Saccharomyces cerevisiae S288C: one gene and its partners. The gene in region 1 interacts genetically with each later gene. Each region holds a gene or a part of one and is shown in the gene's direction. Other genes may lie near its edges. The genes, in order: TCB1, AFG2, YNR064C and STF2.

What was found.
Region 2: mutations in TCB1 (region 1) and AFG2 together harm fitness more than expected from each alone (negative genetic interaction), as found in Saccharomyces cerevisiae (one large-scale study listed by BioGRID).
Region 3: mutations in TCB1 (region 1) and YNR064C together harm fitness more than expected from each alone (negative genetic interaction), as found in Saccharomyces cerevisiae (one large-scale study listed by BioGRID).
Region 4: mutations in TCB1 (region 1) and STF2 together harm fitness less than expected from each alone (positive genetic interaction), as found in Saccharomyces cerevisiae (one large-scale study listed by BioGRID).

The regions. Positions count from the first base shown.
Region 1 is NC_001147.6:482,719-488,488, reverse strand, and holds TCB1 (tricalbin), read left to right. Parts: upstream 1-1,709; coding exon 1,710-5,270; downstream 5,271-5,770. Other genes in the region: YVC1 (Yvc1p), read right to left, coding at 1-782; dolichyl-diphosphooligosaccharide--protein glycotransferase OST3, read right to left, coding at 5,404-5,770. UniProt on the Saccharomyces cerevisiae protein: May play a role in membrane trafficking.
Region 2 is NC_001144.5:912,050-916,442, reverse strand, and holds AFG2 (AAA family ATPase AFG2), read left to right. Parts: upstream 1-1,550; coding exon 1,551-3,893; downstream 3,894-4,393. Other genes in the region: SKI complex RNA helicase subunit SKI2, read left to right, coding at 1-1,287; tethering complex ATP-binding subunit VPS33, read left to right, coding at 4,133-4,393. UniProt on the Saccharomyces cerevisiae protein: ATP-dependent chaperone which uses the energy provided by ATP hydrolysis to generate mechanical force to disassemble protein complexes.
Region 3 is NC_001146.8:748,486-751,577, reverse strand, and holds YNR064C (epoxide hydrolase), read left to right. Parts: upstream 1-1,569; coding exon 1,570-2,442; downstream 2,443-3,092. Other genes in the region: YNR065C (uncharacterized protein), read left to right, coding at 1-1,228; PUL4 (Pul4p), read right to left, coding at 2,812-3,092.
Region 4 is NC_001139.9:507,448-510,315, reverse strand, and holds STF2 (ATPase-stabilizing factor family protein), read left to right. Parts: upstream 1-1,951; coding exon 1,952-2,206; downstream 2,207-2,868. Other genes in the region: SEC9 (Sec9p), read left to right, coding at 1-1,269; ECT1 (ethanolamine-phosphate cytidylyltransferase), read right to left, coding at 2,376-2,868. UniProt on the Saccharomyces cerevisiae protein: Found to stabilize, together with STF1, a complex of intrinsic ATPase inhibitor INH1 and proton-translocating ATPase (F(1)F(0)-ATPase) in mitochondrial membranes. Binds to the F0 part and may function to hold the ATPase inhibitor or STF1 on the F1 subunit.

The DNA.
Region 1 (5,770 bases):
TCAGAGTCCTTACCATTAACCACCAAGGTATAAAGCCCTAGAAACAAAAATGAGAAGATCATCTGCAAATAATTTTGGTATACAGGCGCCTTTAATCTTACGGGGTTGAAATGAGAGATCAATGACACTTCCGCCAGTGAATCGTCCTTGATAAAAGTTGTGGGATCCAAGCCATTTTGGACTATCCATCCTCTCCATATCCATTTTAAACAACGCTGAAATCCACTCGATCCTATCACTGTAGTACAGTGCATATCTGTGGCAAGTTCCAAGGCATTCAACGGTTCTTGATCTTCATCGTTCTCGTTGATTACGTACCGACGCAGCAGTAACTGCATGAAAAGAAACTGCAGGTCTCTTGTCTCCTCCCTTTCAATTAACAATTTACATAACTGTTGTGAGGCTAAATTTCTGGTTTCGTAAAGTTTGGCATTGTGCACTTCCATAGTGGCCAATATGGAATACCACTCACAAACTTTAAGAAGTGAAAAAATAATGACAGATTGATATTTTCTTTTGTTGGCCTTGTCTTTAGGGTTCCCGCCACATGCTTCATAAGCCAGCTTCACAACTTTTGGAGATAAAATCTCAGAATGGTCACAAACAATATCATTGGGATCGTAAACAATAGGTACGACCTTATCAATTAAGTATTTCAAATTTAACGTAACCCTGAGAATCTGTCTCGGAGTGGGGGCCTCAAATCCAAGAGATCCATTGTTTTCCGGCATGCACTGTTCGTTAGAAATTGGCAAGTGCAAGTCGCCGTTGGCTGATACCATAATGCTCCTGTTCTAGTAATATTATATTTTATAACTGAATTCTATTGCCTTACCAAGCCACTGATTAATGACAATTGCATTGAATAGGCTCTAGCTGATCCTCGAAGGATACTGACTAAATTTACCACATATTTTCAGCTCTTATGAGATAACTCCGACATAGCAACAGTGTAGGAGAAAAATTAAAAAATTAACGACCCCAGTGAGGGTTGAACTCACGATCTTGCGATTAACAGTCGCACGCCTTAACCAACTTGGCCATGGAGTCTAACTTTGTTGTTTTAGAGAACGAATGAAGAACTTATTATGACGATAAAAATATGTCAAGAGAGGCCCAAGAATGTATAAATCATTGTAAAACCAAGCAAGTAACAAAAATGGTCATGTGACAAGAGGTGGTGACATAAAAATAACCAAAGGACTAATAACTAGAGAAACAATAAAATGAGAAACTAAAAAAAGAAATAAAGCATTGAAAATCTCATTAGACTAGTTGGCTCATTTCCATGGCAAAATGTACAATTGTATCTCAGTAACGTTATACTCGCTCCCTTTTTAGGCCAATTTTATCCATTATTCTCATTCTAAAATAGCGGACATAACGAGAAAACGATTTACGTTAGAAGTGATAACAACTTTGGCGACCGGAATGCTGCATGAAAAATTATAACAAAAGGCCCCTCAAAAAGCTAAGGGACAGGGATGTTGCTGCAATTGGAATAGTATAATCGGCCGTCAAAATTATCAACTAATAGCATTGGCTACTCCAATTTGGACTTACTGGCTGGTAATTGACTTGTATAGCATTGTCTTAGCTTATTATTTTTTTTTTGCTGAAGAATAAGTAGGATAATTGAAGAAGAATAGCTAAGATAAAAAAAGATAGCTAGTGCATTCTGAAAACTTCAATTGCGTGGTACATACAATATGGCCAAAGAAGATACTGGGGTAACAGCACCAAAGAAGCCCGAAACAGCCCAAGTAGCTAACATAAATGGGATAGATAAGTTAGAACCTCCAAAGACGAAAGAGGAAACCGAATCCAGTAAAAGCGTGTCATCTGAGAAGGCGGCACATGCTAGTGATGAAAGCTTCAAGAGAAGTATCCATGAAGCTTCTTATGTCGGCTGGAAACAGATTGGTGGCTGGGAAGACAAAGACGAATTAACTTTAGATGATGAATTGATGGATATGACTAGAGAAACCTTCTTAGATAACATCATACCGGACAGCCTTTACGGTGACTGGTATCATTCGGTAGCCATTTTCTTTATCGGAGGCGTGGCATCATTTGCACTTGGTCATTATAAGTTTTCAATGGGGTCGGCCTTTTTTGTCATCGTTATCACTTCATTGTTGTATAGAACCTCTGCTAAAAAATACAGAGGTTCCATAAGAGAGTTAGTCCAGAAAGAGTTCACGGTGCAGAAAGTGGAAAACGACTATGAATCCCTAGAATGGTTGAATGCCTTTTTGGATAAGTACTGGCCCATTTTAGAACCTTCCGTTAGTCAATTAATCGTTCAGCAAGCTAATGAACAAATGGCTACTAATGAGGCGATTCCCAAATTTATTACTCAACTATGGATCGATGAGTTGACACTTGGTGTTAAACCCCCCAGAGTTGATTTGGTGAAGACTTTCCAAAACACTGCATCCGATGTTGTTGTGATGGACTGGGGTATTTCTTTTACTCCTCACGATTTATGCGACATGAGTGCTAAGCAAGTCAGAAATTACGTTAATGAATTAGCGGTTGTTAAGGCCAAAATTTTTGGTATCACCATCCCTGTTTCTGTGTCAGACATTGCTTTCAAGGCTCATGCTAGAGTGAAATTCAAATTGATGACTCCCTTCCCTCATGTCGAAACTGTTAATATCCAGCTACTGAAGGTTCCTGATTTTGATTTTGTTGCTACCTTATTCGGCCGTTCCATCTTCAATTGGGAAATTTTAGCTATCCCAGGCCTTATGACACTAATACAAAAGATGGCCAAGAAATATATGGGTCCAATCTTGTTACCTCCATTTTCTTTACAATTGAACATTCCACAACTCTTATCTGGTTCCAACTTGTCCATTGGTATATTAGAAATAACTGTCAAAAATGCAAAGGGGCTAAAACGTACCTCTTCGATATTGAACGAATCAATCGACCCTTACTTATCTTTCGAATTTAACGATATATCTATTGCCAAGACAAGAACCGTAAGAGACACATTGAACCCCGTTTGGGACGAAACTCTGTACGTCTTGTTAAACTCATTCACTGACCCCTTGACCATTAGTGTTTATGATAAGCGTGCAAAATTGAAGGATAAAGTCCTAGGCAGAATTCAGTACAACTTGAATACTTTACATGATAAAACCACGCAAAGAAACTTGAAAGCTCAGTTTTTAAGAAACTCTAAACCGGTTGGGGAATTGACTTTTGATTTAAGATTCTTCCCAACTTTAGAAGAGAAAAAGTTGCCGGATGGATCTGTGGAGGAACTACCGGATTTGAATACTGGTATTGCTAAAGTTGTGGTCGAAGAAGGTTCTCGTTTTGCTGAAGAAGAACAGAAGGTTACTGCCTACGTTGAAGTTTACTTGAATGCTAAACTAGTGTTAACCACTGGTAAGGCAACTGACACTGGTACATTGAAGTGGAATTCAGACTACGAAGCAGTTATTGCAGATCGTCGTAAAACAAGATATAAGTTTGTCGTCAAGGATGGCAAAGGAGAAGAAATTGGATCTACCATTCAAACCCTGAATGATTTAATAGATAGAAGCCAAGTGAACAAAAATTTGATTCCATTAAAAAACCAAAAGGGTGACATAAAGATTACCACATATTGGAGACCTGTTAGACTGGAGATTGGTTCCAACTCTGTAGCTTACACGCCACCAATTGGCGCCATCAGAGTATTCATTGAGAAGGCAAACGATTTGAGAAATTTGGAAAAGTTTGGTACCATTGATCCATACTGTAAAGTTTTGGTTAATGGTTTATCGAAGGGTAGAACTGATTTCAAGAGCCAAACTTTGAATCCTGTCTGGAATCAAGTTATTTATGTTGCAGTTACTTCACCAAACCAAAGAATTACGCTTCAATGTATGGATGTCGAAACAGTCAACAAAGATCGTTCACTTGGTGAATTCAATGTTAACGTTCAAGATTTATTTAAGAAGGATGAGAATGATAAATATGAGGAAACTATTGATGAAAAAGCTAAAGTTGGTCGTCTAGTGATGCCTAAGAAAAAACCTAAGGGCACTATAACATACTATACCTCCTTTTATCCCGCTTTACCTGTTTTAACGTTAGAGGAAATCCAAGATTTAGATAAAGTTAACAAAAAGAAAAAAGCATTGGAACTGCGTAAGTCAGCAATTGATGAGAAAAAAATTTCTAAAGAAGACAAAGCCAAATTTGATCAAGAATGGAATGAGGTCAAAGAATTGGAAGACATGTATAGTAATAGACAGAAATTGGATTTGCCAGAATTATTGCAATACAACCAAGGTGTTCTTGCTGTCACTGTCCTTAATGGGGAATTGCCCGACTCTGGGCTATACGTCCAAGCGTTTTTCGATGATAATGGTCATCCAAGATTTGTTAGTCCACGTATTCCATCGAGAATTGTCAAGAATGGTTGGTCAGGTGACGTGATCATAAAAGAATTGGACAAATCCATTACCACTTTTAGAGTTGCTAAAAATAAAAACTACAACAGAGTGGAGAAATGCGTTTGTGAAGTAGAACTACCCACACAAGAGTTAGTTAAGAACTGTTATTATAAGCCATCAATATTACATCTTTCAGGTGAAGGCAGTGCTAAACTAATGCTCCAAATATCATGGTTCCCTATTGATACAAAACAGTTGCCGGCAAATGACCTGATCACAAATTCTGGTGATTTGACGATTATGTCGAGGAGTGCAGAAAACTTGATAGCATCCGATTTAAATGGTTATTCGGACCCATACTTAAAGTATTACATCAATAATGAGGAAGACTGCGCTTACAAGACGAAGGTTGTTAAGAAAACTTTGAATCCTAAATGGAATGATGAAGGAACTATTCAAATCAATAACCGTTTAAATGATGTTCTAAGAATCAAAGTCATGGACTGGGATTCCACATCTGCGGATGATACCATTGGTACAGCAGAAATCCCATTGAATAAGGTCAAAGTCGAGGGTACTACCGAATTAGACGTACCGGTAGAAGGATTAGAGAACGCTGGTCAAGACGGTGGTATGTTGCATTTAGCTTTCAGCTTTAAGCCAAGATACACCATTAGCGTGAGTAAAAGAGAAAAGAAGGTCGGAGATATAGCATCCAAGGGACTAGGTACTGGTTTGAAAGCTGGTACGACCGTGATAGGCGGCGGTGTTGGTGCCATTGGCAAGATCAAGAAAGGGGTATTCGGTGGACTAGGCAGCCTCACAAACCATAAGAAGAATCATGAGATGGGCGAAGAAGAAACTAAGTTTTAGCGAGAAAGAGAGGGACAAGATGCACTGTGTAAAATATAAATTTCGTTTTATTTTCTTTTATATTTTTTAAAAATCTTTATCTAGTATAACTTTCCATCTCTTTGTTATGGTGAAAACAAAAAAAAAAACTGACTTATTTGAATGGTGCCGATAACCTTAGTAAAGGAAAAGGGTAAGCAGGACTCTTTATCGTGAACACGGTTGTCAAAGCAGCAAAGAAGACATAAATGAATAAGGCACAAAAGGAGGCCAAAATAGCATCAATGAAGTACGCTTTCTTGGTCTCTGGATACAAATGAGACCGCAAGAATTGTATACCCTTGACCAATACGACAACCAACGCGGCCAATGTTCCGTAAATAAGAACCATGACTTGAGTTTCAATGGCGAATTGGTGTTGGAATTCATTGGGCAAGAAATACATAACCTCGCCCTTAGGACCAACGCCTGCCAATTGGGTATTCCTGATTTGGTTGAACATATAGGCACTGATCATGCAA
Region 2 (4,393 bases), on another chromosome or scaffold:
AGTTGTGAAATCTGTGATAATGATATCGAAAAGTTTTTGGAATTGATGCTGGCATATAAGGAGGCAACAGTCAACCTAATGCAAGAAATGGTTAAATCGCCTTCGATATTGCATATCTTGAAAGAGGGCAGACTCGTTGCTTTTAGGGACCCCAATGATTGCTTGAAATTAGGATTTGTATTTAAAGTTTCTCTGAAGGATGCTGTTTGTGTCATTATGACGTTCACAAAACCATACAAACTCCCAAATGGTGAGCCAAATCATTTAATATACTTTCCAAAAGCGGATGGATACAGAAGAAGGAACTTCCCTAAATTCCAGAAGACTGATTTTTATATGGAAGAAGTTCCTGTGACGGCTATTGAAGTGATCACTAAACGCAAGTTTGCCGCACCCTTGGGAAAAGTGATTAAAAAGGATGTTGCCGCTTTGAACGAGTTTAACGCTGAAACAAATAACATTTTGGACGGCAAAACGCTAAAAGAAGCAATTAACATTGAAAAGCAAGGTTTAAAAATTCACCAAATATTGTTAGACCGTACAAATATAAGGGATGAGATATTCAAACTAAAAAGCATTAAATGTCCCAACCTAAGCCAACACATTGTTCCCAAGTTTAAGGCGCATGTAATTAAAAAGAAAATTGAAGAATTGTACCATTTGATGTCTGACCAAAATCTGAGCTTACTACCCGATTATGAAAAGAGATTGGCTGTTCTGAAAGACACTGAATTTATCGACCAAAACCACAACGTGCTGTTAAAAGGTAGAGTGGCATGTGAAATTAATTCTGGTTATGAGTTAGTTTTAACTGAATTAATTTTAGACAACTTTTTAGGAAGCTTTGAACCTGAAGAGATTGTAGCCTTATTATCAGTATTTGTTTATGAGGGGAAAACCAGGGAAGAGGAGCCTCCTATTGTCACACCAAGGCTAGCAAAGGGTAAACAAAGAATTGAGGAAATTTACAAGAAAATGCTTTGTGTTTTCAATACGCATCAGATTCCATTAACTCAGGATGAAGCTGAGTTTTTGGACAGAAAAAGGTTTGCCATGATGAATGTGGTGTATGAGTGGGCCCGTGGTTTATCATTCAAAGAAATCATGGAAATGAGCCCCGAGGCTGAAGGTACTGTAGTCAGAGTTATCACTTGGCTAGACGAAATTTGCCGCGAAGTTAAGACTGCCTCTATTATTATTGGTAATTCCACATTACATATGAAGATGAGCAGGGCTCAAGAGTTGATTAAGAGAGATATTGTTTTCGCCGCAAGTTTGTATTTATAGAGAGCTCATTTATTCTCAATGTGAGTCATGTTTATAAAAGTTAATGTTTTCGAACTCTTATTGCACACACACACACACACGTATACATAGTTTTTAAGTCCACTTCGATCCATCTTTATTTTTTTTTTCTTTCATGTAAGCAACGGGCGGACTATTGTAAGAAAATTTTATATTGCCTCATCACATAAACTAATATGCGAACAATATACAATTGAATTCTCAACATTGCCCATTCTCAAAATTGCCCAATCATAGAAAGGAAAATGGCTCCTAAATCTAGTTCTTCCGGTTCCAAAAAGAAATCATCGGCAAGTTCTAATAGTGCTGATGCAAAAGCATCCAAATTTAAATTGCCTGCTGAATTTATTACCAGACCACATCCTTCTAAAGATCATGGCAAGGAAACATGCACAGCATATATTCATCCTAACGTATTATCCTCGCTTGAGATAAATCCGGGATCATTTTGTACTGTCGGTAAGATAGGCGAAAATGGTATTTTAGTAATAGCTAGAGCGGGTGATGAAGAAGTACATCCTGTTAATGTTATCACCCTTTCCACAACTATACGATCTGTTGGGAACCTTATCCTTGGTGATCGTCTAGAATTAAAGAAAGCCCAGGTGCAACCACCTTATGCCACTAAGGTTACCGTGGGGTCCTTACAAGGATATAATATTTTGGAATGTATGGAGGAAAAAGTAATTCAAAAGCTACTGGATGATAGTGGCGTTATAATGCCTGGAATGATTTTTCAAAACTTAAAAACAAAAGCAGGTGATGAAAGCATTGATGTCGTAATTACAGATGCGAGCGATGATTCGCTTCCCGACGTCAGCCAACTAGATCTTAACATGGACGATATGTACGGTGGATTAGATAACCTGTTTTATCTATCTCCACCTTTTATATTCAGAAAAGGCTCCACACATATAACTTTTTCGAAAGAAACCCAGGCAAATCGTAAATACAATCTTCCGGAGCCCTTATCCTATGCAGCAGTGGGCGGCTTAGACAAGGAGATTGAATCACTGAAAAGTGCTATTGAAATACCTCTTCATCAACCGACGCTATTTAGTAGCTTTGGTGTTTCTCCCCCTCGAGGTATACTTCTTCACGGACCCCCAGGTACTGGTAAAACTATGCTTTTGAGAGTTGTAGCAAATACGTCCAACGCACACGTCCTAACCATTAATGGCCCCTCAATCGTCTCCAAATATCTTGGTGAAACGGAAGCGGCATTAAGAGATATTTTTAATGAAGCAAGGAAGTACCAGCCTTCCATTATTTTCATTGACGAAATTGATTCAATAGCACCAAATAGAGCAAACGATGACTCCGGTGAAGTTGAGAGCAGAGTCGTGGCTACATTGCTTACCCTAATGGATGGCATGGGCGCTGCAGGTAAAGTGGTGGTAATTGCTGCTACAAACAGGCCTAATTCTGTCGACCCTGCTCTCAGGAGACCTGGCAGGTTTGACCAAGAAGTAGAAATTGGTATACCAGACGTTGATGCCAGATTTGACATTTTAACTAAGCAATTCTCAAGAATGTCCTCGGATCGTCACGTATTAGATTCTGAAGCGATCAAGTACATTGCTTCTAAAACGCATGGCTATGTTGGTGCTGATTTAACTGCTCTCTGCAGAGAATCAGTTATGAAGACGATACAACGAGGACTAGGAACAGACGCCAATATTGACAAGTTTTCCCTAAAAGTTACATTGAAAGATGTGGAGAGCGCCATGGTTGATATCAGACCCAGCGCAATGAGAGAAATCTTCTTAGAAATGCCAAAAGTTTATTGGTCTGACATTGGCGGCCAAGAAGAGCTTAAAACAAAGATGAAAGAAATGATACAGTTGCCTTTGGAGGCTTCGGAGACTTTTGCCAGGCTGGGAATTTCTGCACCAAAAGGTGTATTACTTTACGGGCCGCCAGGTTGCTCCAAGACATTAACCGCAAAAGCTCTCGCTACAGAATCGGGTATCAACTTCTTAGCTGTGAAAGGGCCTGAAATTTTTAACAAGTATGTAGGGGAATCCGAAAGAGCTATAAGAGAAATTTTCCGCAAAGCACGCTCTGCAGCTCCAAGTATTATCTTCTTTGATGAAATCGATGCATTATCTCCTGATAGAGACGGGAGTTCCACCTCTGCAGCTAATCACGTGCTCACATCTTTACTCAATGAGATTGATGGTGTTGAAGAGTTAAAGGGTGTAGTTATTGTAGCGGCGACGAATAGACCTGATGAAATAGATGCTGCTCTTCTAAGGCCTGGTAGGTTAGATAGACACATTTACGTTGGCCCTCCAGACGTAAACGCCCGCTTGGAAATCTTAAAGAAGTGCACAAAGAAATTTAATACAGAAGAGTCTGGAGTCGATCTTCATGAATTGGCAGACCGTACAGAAGGTTATTCCGGAGCTGAAGTTGTGCTGCTTTGTCAAGAAGCGGGCTTGGCTGCCATAATGGAAGATTTAGATGTCGCAAAAGTGGAATTACGTCATTTTGAGAAAGCTTTTAAAGGAATTGCTAGGGGCATTACTCCAGAAATGCTCTCTTATTATGAAGAGTTTGCTCTAAGAAGCGGTTCATCTTCGTAAGCTTGTTCATAGTCAATTCTTTTCCTTTGTGTGCTCAATAATAGTAGATAGAAATTATACTGAACTCCGGTCATTTTGTATAATATATTAATCACTTCACACGAACATACATAAATAAAATATCATAAAGGTTAGCAAATTGGAACTAGTTATATGTTAATTAGTTAAAAGATAGAAAATTCGAGAAAGGAAGAAAAAGCTGATATTGCCCATCTCCAACTTTATCAAATCATTTCACGATGAATAGATTTTGGAATACTAAGAAATTTTCATTAACAAATGCCGATGGACTATGTGCTACCTTAAATGAGATATCTCAAAATGATGAAGTTCTTGTGGTTCAACCAAGTGTATTGCCAGTACTCAATAGTTTGCTAACTTTCCAAGATTTGACTCAATCAACTCCTGTAAGGAAAATTACGTTACTCGATGATCAGCTAAGTGACGATTTACCGAGTGCCTTAGGCAGCGTTCCGCAAATGGATCTTATTTTTCTTATT
Region 3 (3,092 bases), on another chromosome or scaffold:
TGATCATGGTGGAGTCTTGGTTTTGGTCCCCGAAAACGCAGAAACTGATTCTATTTCTTACTCCACCGATTTTGGTAAAACATGGAAAGATTATAAATTCTGTGGCGACAAAGTCCTCGTAAAGGATATAATCACCGTTCCCAGAGATTCTGCTTTGAGGTTTTTGCTATTTGGAGAAGCAAAAAACATGGGTAGTGGTTCATTCAGAACGTATACAATTGATTTTAGAAACATCTTCGAGAGGCAATGTGAGTTTGATATTACGGGTAAAAAAAGGGCAGATTTTAAGTACTCTCCTCTGGGTTCCAGAACTGGTTGTCTATTTGGTCATCAAACCGAGTTTTTACGTAAAACCGATGAAAAATGTTTTATTGGGAATATTCCACTTTCTGAATTTTCGAGGAACGTCAAAAACTGTTCATGTACGAGGCAAGATTTCGAATGTGACTATAATTTTTATAAAGCCAGTGATGGTACTTGTAAATTAGTCAAAGGCTTAAGTTCGGCGAATGGTGCCGATATCTGCAAAAAGGAACCCGACTTAATTGAATACTATGATTCCTCTGGCTATCGAAAAATTCCCTTATCAACCTGTAAAGGTGGGCTGAAATTGGATGCACATTTAGCACCACATCCTTGTCCGGGAAAAGAAAAGGCATTCAGGGAAAAATATTCTATAAACACCGGCGCTTATGCGCTGGTTTTTGTTACAATTCTTCTCGTTATTTTCTTTGCCGCATGGTTTGTATACGATAGAGGTATCAGGAGAAATGGGGGATTTTCAAGATTTGAAGAAATAAGATTAGGAGACGATGGGCTGATAGAAAACAATAGGACCGATAGAGTTGTCAACATCATTGTAAGACTAGGATTATGCATTTCTTTAATTACCAAGTCTGCATTTCAACGCACGAAGGCAGGTGTAGCACGCTTTTCTTCAAAATTAAGGGCAAGGTTTGGCAACAGAAAAGGTCCTACTTACTCTTCGCTGCTTCAGGGTCAGTTTTCAGATGAATCAGATGGCTTGCATGAAGATGCTAACGATTTATCCAGTTTCACAAGTCAAGACAGTAATTTTGAAATTGAACAAGAAGATGCTTACAGACCCGAACAAGAGCACACGTCACAGATAGACCAGCCTGCCACTAGCAATATTCCAGACGCATTGCCAGCACGTAGTGCTATTCACAAGCCTGATTCAACTGCTGTGCGCAACGAGGACGAGTAAATAGATTTTTTTAATAGACTAAATAATCGTATGTTTGCTAACAAAAAGTACGCATATGCATTTTCTCAATATTGTGCATTTTCTAAATCTCCATTCACCTTTGTTATTAACATAGTCATTTAAAGGTATGATAATTCAGTATTCATCTTTTCCACAGACGGCGCTGCATGCCATTCGTCTGTAACTTGCCTAGGGACTGCGCCGCACATAATCGTGACAGAAATTTCAAAAGTGATAGGAGCCAAAAGTGATAGGAGCCAAAAAGAACATATATAAGCACGATCAAATTAACTGAACTTGACCACTTTTCTTTCACTGTCAGAATTGGACGAAGGACAAAAATGTCAAATATCATTGCAAGATTTCACAAGATTCAAGTTCAAGACGGTGTAAAGGTTTGGTACCGTGAGGCCGGTGCAGCAGGTAACCCCACAATTTTATTGCTACATGGGTTCCCTACATCTTCCAACATGTTCAGGAACCTCATTCCCTTACTAGCTGGACAGTTTCACATCATTGCTCCGGATCTTCCTGGGTTCGGATTTACGGAAACGCCAGAAAACTACAAGTTCAGCTTTGATTCCCTTTGTGAAAGTATAGGATATTTGTTAGATACTTTGAGTATTGAAAAATTTGCCATGTATATATTTGATTATGGATCTCCGGTAGGTTTTCGGTTAGCCTTGAAGTTTCCCTCCAGAATTACTGGCATTGTTACTCAAAACGGTAATGCTTACGAAGAGGGTCTCGATGACCGCTTTTGGGGTCCGTTGAAGGAATATTGGAAGTCATATCAAAGTGATCCGGTATTTGTTAAATCCCTTATCCCGTACCTTGAAGATCCAGCTAATGTCATATGCCAGTACCATGATGGAGTACCAGCTATCGAATCTGTTGATCCCGCCGCTTATACGCTTGATATTGCGCTAATTCAGCGTACCGGCCAGACCGATATTCAATTGAGATTATTTTTCGATTATCAGAATAATATAAAGTTGTACCCAGCCTTTCAAAAGTTCTTGAGAGATTCAAAGATTCCTGTGCTAGTTGCATGGGGTGCGAATGATACTATTTTTAGCGTTGCCGGGGCTGAAGCTTATCGGAAAGACGTTGATAATTTAAAGGTTGTTTACTATGATACTGGCCATTTTGCGCTTGAAACTCACGTAGTTGCTATTGCCGAAGAAATCATCAGTATGTTTGCAGAAAATTAAAGATACTAAGTTCTTGTGACAATGTTTTCTGAGAAGAATCTCTCGTATTTTGTTTAATTGCCAAAAACACATATGTTTCGACTCACATAGAGTTGCCTCAGAGCGTTCTTTTGTTACCCATTATTGCTCATAAATAAGTCAAAACAGATGTCTGGTCGCATTATCAAGGGTTTGTACTGGTAGCCCGGTGACAATATATTAATCTAAGCATATAACATTTTTAGTAAGTTCTTCAGCCACCTTTTTTACGATCTATGTTGTTTTGAAGGGTAAACCTACTACCATGTCATATGGATCTTTCCCCTAGTAAACTTGTATCTCAAAAGGTCATTTCTGAATAAAGTGTCAAAAAATCAGCTAGGAAACGGTTTAGTAAAGTATGCGACCCCAAAATTCGACAAAGCTATCACCACTCAGCTGTACTGGACTGATCGGATATTTGATTATATCAATAAGGTTTTGTTCAATAGGAAGTACCTGAACTAAATCTTGCAATATTTCCAATGCTAGAATGTATTCAAATAGTTCAGTACCTTTAAGGAACTGCACCACCTGCTTATACCTTAGGAGTATAATACATGAAATACATAATGTCAGTGACGCTGTTCTTAAAGGATAACAAAAATTCCAATCCAAACGTTCATGCCTTT
Region 4 (2,868 bases), on another chromosome or scaffold:
AGAAATCCTTACGCTGATATGAATAGTTATGGCGGGGCGTATGACTCCAATACTAATAGATCTAGCGGTACTCGACAAGGAAGCTCCAAGAATGCAAATCCATACGCCTCTATGGCGAACGACTCATATAGTAATGGAAATTTGAACAGGTCTGCAAATCCATATTCTAGTAGAAGTGTGCGTCAACCGCAATCGCAACAAGCTCCAATGACTTATACGCCCTCTTTTATTGCTTCTGATGAAGCAGCACGCAATAGTGAAGTTGATTTAAATGAAGAACCTAGAACAGGTGAATTTGATTTTGAAGAAGTTTATGCTGACAAGTCTGCAGAAAATAGAGCGGCATTAGATGAGCCTGATTTGAATGCAGTAATGACGAATGAAGATTCAATAGATTTAAATGCGTCCGAAGTTGATCATAGTTCAAGACAGCAGCAGCAGCAACAGTGGTTCATGGATGAGCAGCAACAGCAACAGCAACACTTTAACGCAACAAATAACCAATATGGAGATCAAAGGGGTTACAAAACATTTGAAGAAATACAAAAAGAAGAGGAGGCTCGCCAGCAGCAGGAAGAAGATGAAGCAGTAGATGAAATCAAGCAGGAGATCAAATTTACGAAACAGAGTTCCGTAGCCTCTACTAGAAATACACTAAAAATGGCTCAAGACGCCGAAAGAGCAGGTATGAACACATTGGGTATGCTGGGTCATCAAAGTGAACAATTGAATAACGTAGAAGGAAACTTAGATTTAATGAAGGTGCAAAATAAAGTTGCAGATGAAAAAGTTGCAGAACTAAAAAAATTGAACCGTAGTATATTGGCTGTCCATGTTTCTAATCCGTTTAATTCCAAGAGAAGGAGAAGGGAGAGGGAAGAGCAGCTGAAGAATAGGAAAATTGAAGAAAAATTAATGAGAGAGCAAACAAGTCAACAATTGTCTCAGTCCACTCAAAGAATAGAGGGTGCTATGAACGCAAATAATAACATAAGTGAGGTGCGGGAAAGATATCAGAGGAAGAATGTTCTAGAAAAGGCAAAGAGATATCAGTTTGAGAATGATGAAGAAGATGACGAAATGGAATTGGAAATTGATAGGAATTTGGACCAGATTCAGCAGGTTAGCAACAGATTGAAGAAAATGGCCTTGACCACTGGTAAAGAATTAGACTCTCAGCAAAAACGTCTCAACAACATTGAGGAAAGCACTGATGATCTAGATATCAATCTCCATATGAATACCAACAGGTTGGCAGGTATCAGATAGAATATGCCTGTAAAAACTATGTAATATATCACAAGTAACAACATTTCATCACCATTACTACCATTATGTAGAAATTTATGAGCAAAGACAAATAAGTAAAGAAAAAGACATTGATATAATATAAGAGTATGCTTTCTTCATTTTAATGTTTGGTTGTGAATTGAAAGAATACCATTCGGGCACGCAATAGTTATGAACTTAACCGAGCTCAAATAATTTAAAGATAAAAGATAAAAGATAAAAGATAAAAGACAAAAGAAAATTCATAGCCCATGTTGAAGTATCCCAGCGGGAAATGTTGCTATCCAACAGAAAGTACCAAGCCAGTTTCAAAAAGGTACAGAATTAAGTGATGCTATCCGTCCCACAACTAATTTTCTCCAGCGGAGGAAATATACGCGGAGGGGGGGAGGAAAACCTCTCAGTAAGCAATGAAGGGATAGATAATGGGGGCGCGCCTGCCTAGCTTAGGCTAAGAAACTCCTTCGAAAACAGGGGGCTGCGAGCGCAGAAGCGAACACTTGTCATTTGTATAAAAGGACTATTTATAAGTTTGCTTTTTGTCACTCTCTTGGCCCTAATTACCCATACTATTGTAACAATTGTTGTGTAAACTCAATTATACAAATAAACGAACAATCAACAGTAACAAACCGCTCAAGTGTACAACCAATCAGAAAAAATGACGAGAACAAACAAGTGGACCGAACGTGAAGGAAAGGCTGATCCAAAGTACTTTTCGCACACTGGTAACTACGGTGAATCTCCAAATCACATCAAGAAGCAAGGTTCCGGCAAGGGTAATTGGGGTAAGCCAGGCGATGAGATTGATGACTTAATTGATAATGGTGAAATACCCCCAGTGTTCAAGAAAGATAGAAGAGGCTCAAATTTGCAATCGCATGAACAAAAGTTTGAAAACGTCCAAAAGGAATGAGGGCGTTTTCAAGATAAAAAAAGGTTTTTTGATCTCTGAAGGATAGTGGCCTTCTCCACTGATTTATATGCATCTATAGGTATATACTTGCATGCCTACTTCATGACTTATGTAATACAGTTTTCTTACATCCATTTAATTTACGTTCGAAGAAGTTTTCAACATTTGTTTATATGGACATTCCCTTTTTTTGGTTCCTCGCAATGTAAACCTCCCTTTGCGATTCCACCCTCTTCACAATAAGCTCTTTAGTCAAGTATTCACTGAATTTTCCGGCAGCAGTGAGGACAGCCGTGCCAATATGATACTTCTCGCAGTTATACTGAGACATTGAGGTGGCGTCAGCATCGATAATAACGGCATCAACATATTTACAACTTAAAACGCTCAAGACGCGTTCCTTCATCGTCATAATGGTACTCGAGTAATCGCTTGTGGTAATACCAACAATCAATTTCTTATCGGGGTGAAGATCCATTTTCAGCTTTCTTAACTGATCAATATCCCCCATATGGAATAAGTCAAAATCCCCGTCAACATAAACACAATCTTCTGCATCGAATTTGTATCCACCATTGACCAAGACATTGTCCAAATCCCTCTGAAAGACATAACAATGTTTTGAAACGGCATCTTGGGCGACAGAATAGAAACTCAATTCC